2 linked regions of the Sus scrofa genome follow. The protein of the gene in region 1 purifies or fractionates together with the protein of each later gene. This does not show direct contact. Links are inferred from orthologs where the notes say so. Each region holds a gene or a part of one and is shown in the gene's direction. Other genes may lie near its edges.

The links.
Region 2: the proteins of RANBP10 (region 1) and RMND5A purify together in Homo sapiens (affinity purification with mass spectrometry; 4 studies listed by BioGRID and IntAct, counting the BioPlex papers as one, with this or other methods). This does not show direct contact. The link is inferred for Sus scrofa from reciprocal best matches to the Homo sapiens genes RANBP10 and RMND5A.

Annotation. Positions count from the first base shown.
Region 1 is NC_010448.4:28,425,555-28,429,955, reverse strand, and holds the start of RANBP10 (ran-binding protein 10), read left to right. Parts: upstream 1-1,572; 5' UTR 1,573-1,608; coding exon 1,609-1,843; intron 1,844-2,612; coding exon 2,613-2,724; intron 2,725-4,401. Other genes in the region: TSNAXIP1 (translin-associated factor X-interacting protein 1), read right to left, coding at 951-997. UniProt on the Homo sapiens protein: May act as an adapter protein to couple membrane receptors to intracellular signaling pathways.
Region 2 is NC_010445.4:58,093,996-58,098,591, reverse strand, and holds the start of RMND5A (protein RMD5 homolog A), read left to right. Parts: upstream 1-1,739; 5' UTR 1,740-2,370; coding exon 2,371-2,512; intron 2,513-4,596.

The DNA of each region.
Region 1 (4,401 bases):
TTGATCCTGCCACCTCGTGGTTCCTAGTTGGATTTCTTTCCACTGAGCCACGATGGGAACTCCAAAATTTTTTGTTTTAAATATATGCTTTGTGACTTTCCTGGCTAACGGAGCTTGTTATCTTATTTTCAGTGTCCAGAGGCTGCACCCTGAATACAGGCAGGAGCTAGCAGGAGGCCTCGGGATGTTTCTAGGCTGCTTAGTGATGCTTCTTTGTCATAAACCAGTGGGTGCAGAGGCTGTTAACCTTGTGGCTAAGCGCTCAGTTTCAGGAATCACACATGCCTGGCTGGGTTTGAATCCTAGCTCAGTCATTTATAAACAGGTGTAAAACTCATGATCTCTCTAGACTTCTATTTCTCTATTTGTAAAATGGTGATATTACTAATTCATAGAGTTGTTGTGAGGGTTAATTGTGCTATGTAAAGAGCATGGCACAATTCCGGCTGTGGCTCAGCGCATTAAGAACCGGACAGAAGATACGTGAGGATGCGGGTTCCATCCCTGGCCTTGTTCAGTGGGTTAAGGATCTTGTGTTGTCCTGACCTGAGGTGCAGGTCCCAGACGTGGCTCGGATCTAGTGTTGCTGTGGCTGTGATATAGGCCGGCAGCTGCAGCTCCCATTCGACCCCTAGCTTGGTTATTTCCATACGCCGCTGGTGCGGCCCTAAAAAGATAAAAAAACACAAACAAACAAACAAACAAAAAAACTTGGCACGCTCAATACAAACAAGATGGCTGTTACTAATGATAAAGTATGCCTGCCCTTTTACAAGAATGTAACGGCCTCCCTGAGCTGAGGAGTCATCTGAGATTCTGTTTCTTCATCACCTATCCTGTGCGGTTGGAGCCCCAGACCAACGGAGAGAGGTCCGAATCAGGTACCATTTATTTCTTTTTCTGGAAGTAGTAAAGCCCTCTTCTCCGCCCTCAGCCCTGCCAGCGCTTACCTCGACGTGGTCGCCAAGCTGGGGCACTGCGGTTTGGAGGAGGCCATGACCCTAGGGCAGCCGTGCAGCCAGCACTCGCGAACTGGAAAGCCGTGCTAGTGTACAGCTCGTCGCCATGGCGACCAGTTCCCAGCAGCCCAGCGGCGGGGGCGGGGTCAAGGTTGTGTCTTGCCCCCAGCCCAGAGCCCGCGGGCTAGGAGGAAGGCCAAGTAGCCAAGATGGGGTCAGACTTGGGAATAGGGTCTTCTCAGAGTCTGTCACTACAGCAGATATGACTCTAGCGACCAGAATTGAGGCAGGAGGATAAACAGAGGCCATGGGTGAGGGAGGCGAAGTGAGAGGCCAGAATCGCGTTGCCAGCGGGAACTGTAGTTTTTGGTGTCCTAATAGCTTGGCTAAGCAGGCTTATGACTGAGTCGGTTTGTACTACATCTCCCAAAGTTCTTTACCAGCCCGAGCTAGCCTCCCTATGGAGAGCTCTGCATTCTGGGAAATGAAGTCCGAAATATGGCAGGGCGTGGCAGTATGCAAAGAGAGGTACCTAACTCGGACTCGATTTCCCTGCGGCCCGGGTTTGCTCTCCGGCCATTGGCTGAGCGGGGCGGATCTAGTCCTGTTCTTCCCCGCCCCCAGTGACACAATAGCAGCTCCCTCCAAGATGGCGGCGGCGACGGCGGATCCGGGAGCTGGGAGCCCGCAGGTTGGAGACTCCTCCGGCGGGGGCGCTGGGGGCGGGCTGCCGTCTCCGGGGGAGCAGGAACTGAGCCGGCGCCTGCAGCGCCTGTATCCCGCGGTCAACCAGCATGAGACGCCGCTGCCGCGCTCCTGGAGCCCCAAGGACAAGTACAACTATATCGGCCTCTCCCAGGGCAACCTCCGCGTCCACTACAAAGGTATCGGCCTGTTTGGCCGCGGGGGGTAAAAGGCCAGAGCGTCAGCAGGGTGGCTGTGCTGTCCAGCCCCTGCTTCATCACTTCCTTTCCCCAAGCTCCGGATTAGGCCTTAGCTCCTGTTGGGTGTTTGGGTGGTGGGCTGACCAGACCGAGGATTGGCTGCTTAGCCTACTCTGCCGTGAGACTTCGGATGTCAGGAGAACCTCAACAGGTGTCCAAACCCAGTGCTGGGTTGGACATTGCACCCAAGGCCTTCTTGCCTGTCCTGTGGTAGTTGGAACTCTCCCTGGGCCCTTCACCACTGCTTAGCTTTAAACGTCTCTGTAGACATTAGTGGTCTCATCCTCTCTATTAGCCAGAGGTGCATGAGCTTGCTTACCTGCTGGACATCTCAGACACTGCCTACGGTTCTGTGCTAAAGTTGTGGGGCCATCTTCCAGGGCTGCCTCTTCCTCCCTTAGTCTCCTAAGTGGGCTGCTTGGCTGCTTGTATTCTGGAGAGTCTGGCAGCAGCACGAGGGAATCTCTCACTTGTCACCCACCTTGCATATGCCTCCTGTGGTTTGTATGGAGACAGTGTCTCAGACAGTGCTACTGTTCTGAGGATGAGGTGGGAGGTTTGTGTGTTTGCTCAGTTGTTGTCTAATTACACCTTGGACCAGGAAAGGGCTTCCTCTGGCTATGAGGGGTGAAGTTGCTGTGGAGCAGAGAAGAATGAGTCTTCCATTTGCATTTCCTTTTGCTGAAATTTCTTTGTCCTCTCTTACTAGGTCATGGCAAAAATCACAAAGATGCAGCCTCAGTGCGCGCCACCCACCCCATACCTGCTGCCTGTGGCATTTATTACTTTGAGGTGAAGATTGTCAGCAAAGGAAGAGATGGGTAAGCCCAATACTGAGCTGTTCCTTTTGGTCAAAGTTTGAGGTCTCCTGATTGACCCTTGTGACTTGTGTGAGCTGCTGAGCTGTATGGGTCTGGGCTGCAGAGGGGATTAATAGTGGCTGCCTCTGTTACCTGGCTGTAGGCATGGCCTGGTCTAAGCAGCAGCCTTTGATGGCAGTTAGGAACCTGGTGTAGAGGAGGGGCTTCTCTTTAGTGATGACGAAATGAGGTACCTCATAGGTGAGGGAACCAAGTTTACATTAACAATTCAGTGTCCAGAATGGAGTTTCCCCATTATTGTGGGGTGTTTGTGACTTCCCTCCTTTCACACTCTTGCTGCATTCAAGGTTCCTTTTTATGGTTATTAGTCATGTAGAGGCCCCTTTAGACTTCAAAGGAGTAGTAAAGTCTTTGCAGCATTCATCAAAGCTGCGGCAGCCACTGGCCTGTCATCTTAGGGTAAACAGCATGCACATGGTCAAAATCAGGTGACCTTGCTACTCATAAACTTGTTTTTCAGTCTCGGGACTTGAACACCAGTTGGACCAGCTTTAGGAAGGTCCATATTAAAGTCAGCATTAGGGAAGCTCCCTATTTTAGGGTGATCTAAGCAGACACAGGACATCACAGGGGAGATTTGTCATTTTTCTTCCTTTTTTCCTAGTCTCTCTGTTTTTTTCCTGGTAATTGTTGTAAAACAGGTGTTTAAGTTGTGAAATAACATGATTTCACCTGCCTTGGGAAAGCTTTCCTCATCAGATCTTAGGTCTGGTGTGGGGAGTTTGCTAACCCCACCAGTGACCTTCATGCCAACCCCAAATGTGTGTTCCTGAGTGTTCAGAATACTTTCTTTCTCCTTGGGACTGTCCCCCTTGTGGTGCATGCAAAATGCCCAGCCAGGGGGCGATGCTGGGGGCAGGACTGCTGCAGTTGGAGCTTTGCCTGCTTTCTCAGTGAAGCCTTAACATCCCTGCCTGGGAGAGTTGTGTGGTTGTGGGTAGGTCATGGGGCTTAGATCTCTTTGTCTGTACTGTGGGGGGCTAGGCTAGCGCTAAACTGCCTTCAGTTCCAGAATTCTATGATTCTGAAATTGTAAGGATGGCAAGCTATTGTGTCTTTTACTTTTATTCCTGTTTATTGCAGGAAGCTTGTATAATTAAAGGGCTTTAAAGCTTGTATTTTTCCATTTCCACCATCTGATGAAAGTGCATTATTTTTCTTTCCTTTTAGGGCTGCACCTGCGGCATATGGAGGTTCCCAGGCTAGGGTCTGAATCAGAACTGTGGCTGCTAGCCTATACCACAGCCACAGCAACGCCAGATCTGAGCCGAGTCTGCAACGTACACCACAGCTCACAGCAATTCCAGATCCTTAACCCATTGAGCAAGGCCAGGGCTCGAACCAGTGGACTAGCATTGAACCATGAGAACTGGCATCCTCATGGATGCTACTTTGATTCATTTCCACTGAGCCATGACAGGAACTCCCCAGAGTGCATATATTTAATGTGCTTAAACTAGTGTGAATGAGAATGGCCTCTTAAACACTGCAAAGATACAGACTGAAATGTTGGTGCTATGGTTTTATACTACCAAAGAAACCGAGGGGGGTTTCTTAAACTTGTAGGGAGGCAAATAGATTATCTTCTTTAGAGTCCTTAATTATAGATAACAGCTG
Region 2 (4,596 bases), on another chromosome or scaffold:
TTTTTTCGGGCAGCCTGGCCATGAAAAGACTGAGCAGAAAAGGGAAACAGCCTAAGGAGGGTTGAATGAAGGCTCTCCCCACATCCTCAGGTCAGCTGGCCACTTAAAAAGGGAGAAGGCACGCCTTTTCTGTTGGGTACTTGACAACAGTTCATAAAATGGATACAACAGATGGACACACTTTGAGAAGGGTGACAGAAGGTGCTGGAGTTGAATGTTTTTTACCTTCTCAGTGAAGGAGGAATCAGGGCCACCTGTCAAGGGAGAGAGGAGAAAGGAAAACAGGTTAGGTGGGGAAGAGAAAGGCCATGTGTAAGAGCAACAGTGCGGCTGCCCTTGAGTATCACGGAGAACTAAATAAAACGACTAGGTAGGTGCTGGACCAACGTGATTCCATGATTTTTAAGTTGCCATCTCATATTTACTCCTGGGAACTGACACTAGTAGCAACCACCACTGTTTATCATGTAGTTATCATGTGCTACTGGGTGTTTACCTAAATTATCTTCATTTTCCTAACAATAGATCGAAGTATTATTAGTTCTAATTATTACCAAACTATAAAAAGAGACACTGAGGCTCAAAAAGGTTTTACCTTAATAATAATAATAATAAAAAGACCAGGTACTATGTTGCCAATCACTGTTCTGGGCACAGAAAACAGAGGCCAGGGGGCTGCCTTAGCGCTTTATTGAAGGAGTGCAGACAGAAAAGTGAATGAAAATAACTGAAACAGATAACAAGTGGTGAGAAAATAGTAAAACGGCTATGATTGACCATAATAAATATGGTGTAGTAATGGAGGAGGGAATGTGGTCAGGGGGGGACCCTCTGTGGTACAAGTGAGCCGAAAATTTTAGGATGACACGATGGAAGAGTTTTCTAGTCCAAAGAAAGGCTAAGTACAGAGGTCCTGAGGCAAGCATCAACTTGGCTTCTAGGAGGAACGCTAAGCTAAGGTCGGGGCAGTCACAGCTTAGTGAGCAAGTAGGTACAGGCCAAGGTAGGAGGCGCCATGGCAAGTCAGGGGAAGGATTCACGCGAAGGGGGTAACTCCATCGGAAGCAATGGAATAACGAGCCGAAGAGGCAGGAGCCAGGCTGCCCCGAGGTCCGACGCAAGTTTCCCTTCCGTGATGCTGCCCCCGGGGTGAGGCAACCCGTCAGGAGAGTCCCAGGGGCCAAAGGGCCGAGGCCCGCGGGGGTGGGGGTGGAGGTGTAAGGCTTGTGACCTCCCGGTGTAGCGAGAATCGAGGCAGGATCGCGGGCCACGCCCGGCCAACAAGCAGCCCCCTTCTCCCACCTCAGAATCCCCCTCTTCTTATTCCAGTTAGCGACCCCCGCCCGCAGCACCACCCACTCCGCTCGGCCTGGCTGGATTTTTCCTCGGGGCGGCGAGTCTGCTTTCCAAAACTTGGAGAAGACAGTACCCTCAGGAATGACAGGGAGATGAAATAACTCAGGGCTGGGGCGAAGTCCTATGGGAAATAGGCCTTTTTATTTCTGCCTTGTTTTCCCTCACGGCTTTCCAGAAACGACTTGCTTCCCAGGATGCTCTCCAAATCACCCCCTCCAACAGCGAGACTATTGGTTTGGCCTCTAGTCCCAGATTGGCTGAAGGATTAGGCCTCGGCCAGGGATTGGAGGACGTTCGTTCCTTACGTATTCTCGGCGCTTATTGGTTCGTTTTCTCCGTTTCTGGGCGGAGTGGTGACGGGCGGTTTCCACCCTCTTGTTTACGGAGCGCGTAGTTGTAGCGCTCTCGGAGCTCTGGGGCTGGCTCCAAAGTTCCCTATTTAGCTCCTCGGCCCAATTGGATCTTTGCTCCGCCCTCTCCCGCTCCCTTGCACGCCTCCCGCGTGGTAGGGCCCACACCTTTAGAGCGGCGGCGCGAGCGGACGCTCGTCACGTTCCTCCGCCCGCGCTCGCCGGCCGCCTCCCCCCGCCACGAGCGTGCGCTTGGTACGGCCCCCGCCGCCTCCATCCCTCGCTGGGGTGGCTGCCCCCCCTCGGGTCGGCGGCGCTTGGTGCCGCCCGGGAGAACCAGGTCATCGGTCGGTTCCCGTGAAAACAAAAACAATCGGCGGCGCCGCGTCGGACAGCGAACGCGGCGAGCGGGGGCTCGGGGCCGGGTGGGAAGAACGAGCGGGAGCAGCGGCGACGCGCCGGGGTCGGGGCGCCATGGGGCAGGCGGGCGCGGGCTGCGCGGAGCTCCCTCGGCGCCGGGGCTAGCGCGTCCGCCTCTTCAGTCTCCCGTGCCGCCCGCTTGGGGGACGAGGAGCAGGACGCGGCCTCGGCCGGGCCCGGGCCGAACGGCTGCGGACACCCGGGCGCTGGGCAGCCGAGCGCCGCTGCCGCCACCGCCTCCGGGATGGATCAGTGCGTGACGGTGGAGCGCGAGCTGGAGAAGGTGCTGCACAAGTTCTCGGGCTACGGGCAGCTGTGCGAGCGCGGCCTGGAGGAGCTTATCGACTACACGGGCGGCCTCAAGCACGAGATCCTGCAGAGCCACGGTAGGGCGGCCCGGGTGGGCGCGCGGGGCCAGGCCTCGGCGGGCCAGGAAGGGTGGCCTCCGGGGGCCTCGGCTCCTCCTTCCCTGCGGCCCTTTTGGCTTTTTCCTGCTTCTCTCTCCGGTTTTGTCTCCAACTTACCCCGACCTCGTTGTTAATTAAGAGTGAGCCCGAACCCACCCGGAAAACCAATTCTGAAGCCTGGGGCTCCAGCCCAGGTTAAACGGGGGTGGGGCCGTCCGTCGCACCTGCAAACTGCCGCCCTCCCGGGCTGGGCTCCCCTGGTCAGTTGCCTTGGGCATAAGGCTCTGGGTAAACAGAGAGTCAGTGCAGGGAGCCCCCTCTTTCTTCTCTGCCCCAAACTCTTAGCGCAGAGACTTACTTTTCTCGTCTTTCCTTTTCTTTCTTTTTCTTTTTTTTTTTAAATTAGAAAGTTGAGTGTTATTCTTAGCTGTGGGTTAACAGAACAGCCGCTTCTGCAACTCCATAATTTAACTCTGTGTGGAAGCAGTTTTTCTTTAATTCGGCAGCGGCACTGACTTGATTGCTAGGAAACTAGCTGAACCAAACTGTTCAGCTCTCCTCCTGGAGCCAGTGATGAGACGGAGGAACTCTCCAGAAACACATTGTGGCACAAGTTGGTAGTTAACTTGCTTACCTGGTCAAGTTTTTAACTTGTTTTCCTTTCAGAAAACAGATTTTCTATAGTAGGTGTTTTTCCTATATGGTTACTGCCTAGACCCTGGGGGCAGATACTTTGCCAAAGTTTAATTTGTGGAAGCTGCTTGGGAAGGGTTTGTTTTTTTTTGTTTTTTAAATAACATTCAACGTCTGATGTTTGAATTTAAATATCCACAGTGGTGATTCCTTCTGAGCCAGAAGTAAAGGACTTTATGTGATGGATTTATTGAAGAGCTGTTCGGAGGCCTTTTCAACTTGGAGGCAGAACAGAATTTTTTTGAAAAGGAAGGTTTGGGGGGATGTGTAGACCTGGCAGGTGAGGTTGAGGAGAGTGGTCCTAGTTGAGCCTCTCTCCACCGCTCCTTCTTTCTTGCACACCTTCCTTTCCCAGACTGCTTTATCCTGAGAGTTAGTGCTTCTGAAGGGGAAGTAGACCTAGAGTGGGGTGGGACTCTGGGGAGGTGCTGGTGAACTTGGTTTTGGACAAGTGAGAAGCTGAAGGGCTAATGAAGATTGAGTCAAGAGCTCAGTGATATTTTCTGGTGGCTGAAGATACATAGGTGGAGTTTGGGAGGAGGTAAGGTCTAGGGTGGTTTCCTGGTGTCCTTTCTGCGGGAGAGGGAAGGAGAGCCCTTAGGCCACAGGGAGGAAAGACTTTAGGATCTAAGCATAGCCTTGAAGCGTGGAAGGCCAGGAGGAGCCTGCAGAAAGGACGGGTTTAGAGAAAGAGAGGTTGGTCAAGGTTTGTGGCTGCTGGGAGTCAGTGACCCTCTTTACTTGCAGTTTCATAGAATTGTTAAAATAAACTAGGTGACAGAGAGGTAAGAAGAATGTGCAGATCAAGGTGAAGGGGGCTGCTTCAGTAAAGGGACTGAAGGAGTGCCCCTCCCCCTCCACTGGGGAGGAAATCTTGGTCTTGTTAAAGACTGAAAGGGAAGGAGTGAGTGAAGGGTGTAGACTTGGAGAGGCAGAAGGAACATTTCAGTTTTACTGACCAGGTCAGAGATTGAGGGCTGGGTTAGGCAGAGCTTGAGAGAGAGAAGATGGAAAGTAAAATCCCTTTCTTCCCTGAGAGAGAGAGAGAGAGAGAGAGAGAGAGAGATAGAGGGCATGCTAATTGAAGGGGGATGTGGTTGTGAACCTTGTTGTAGGGGATTTGGGGTCCATCCCGGGTGGACAAAATAATTTGGAGAAATTGCTAAAGTGGGAATTTTAGACCTCCTCGCTTGTTATTGGGGAACTTTTCAAGGAATTTACAGCCAGTAGGATATTAGCCACAGAGTTTGCTGGGCTGTTTAAAAAGTCTGATGTGATGAATTGCTCATGTTTTCTTTTCAGCCTCCTGCTTTTTACTTTGTCTACCAAATTGCAGTCTTATATTGATATCTCTGATTTTCTCCAATTCT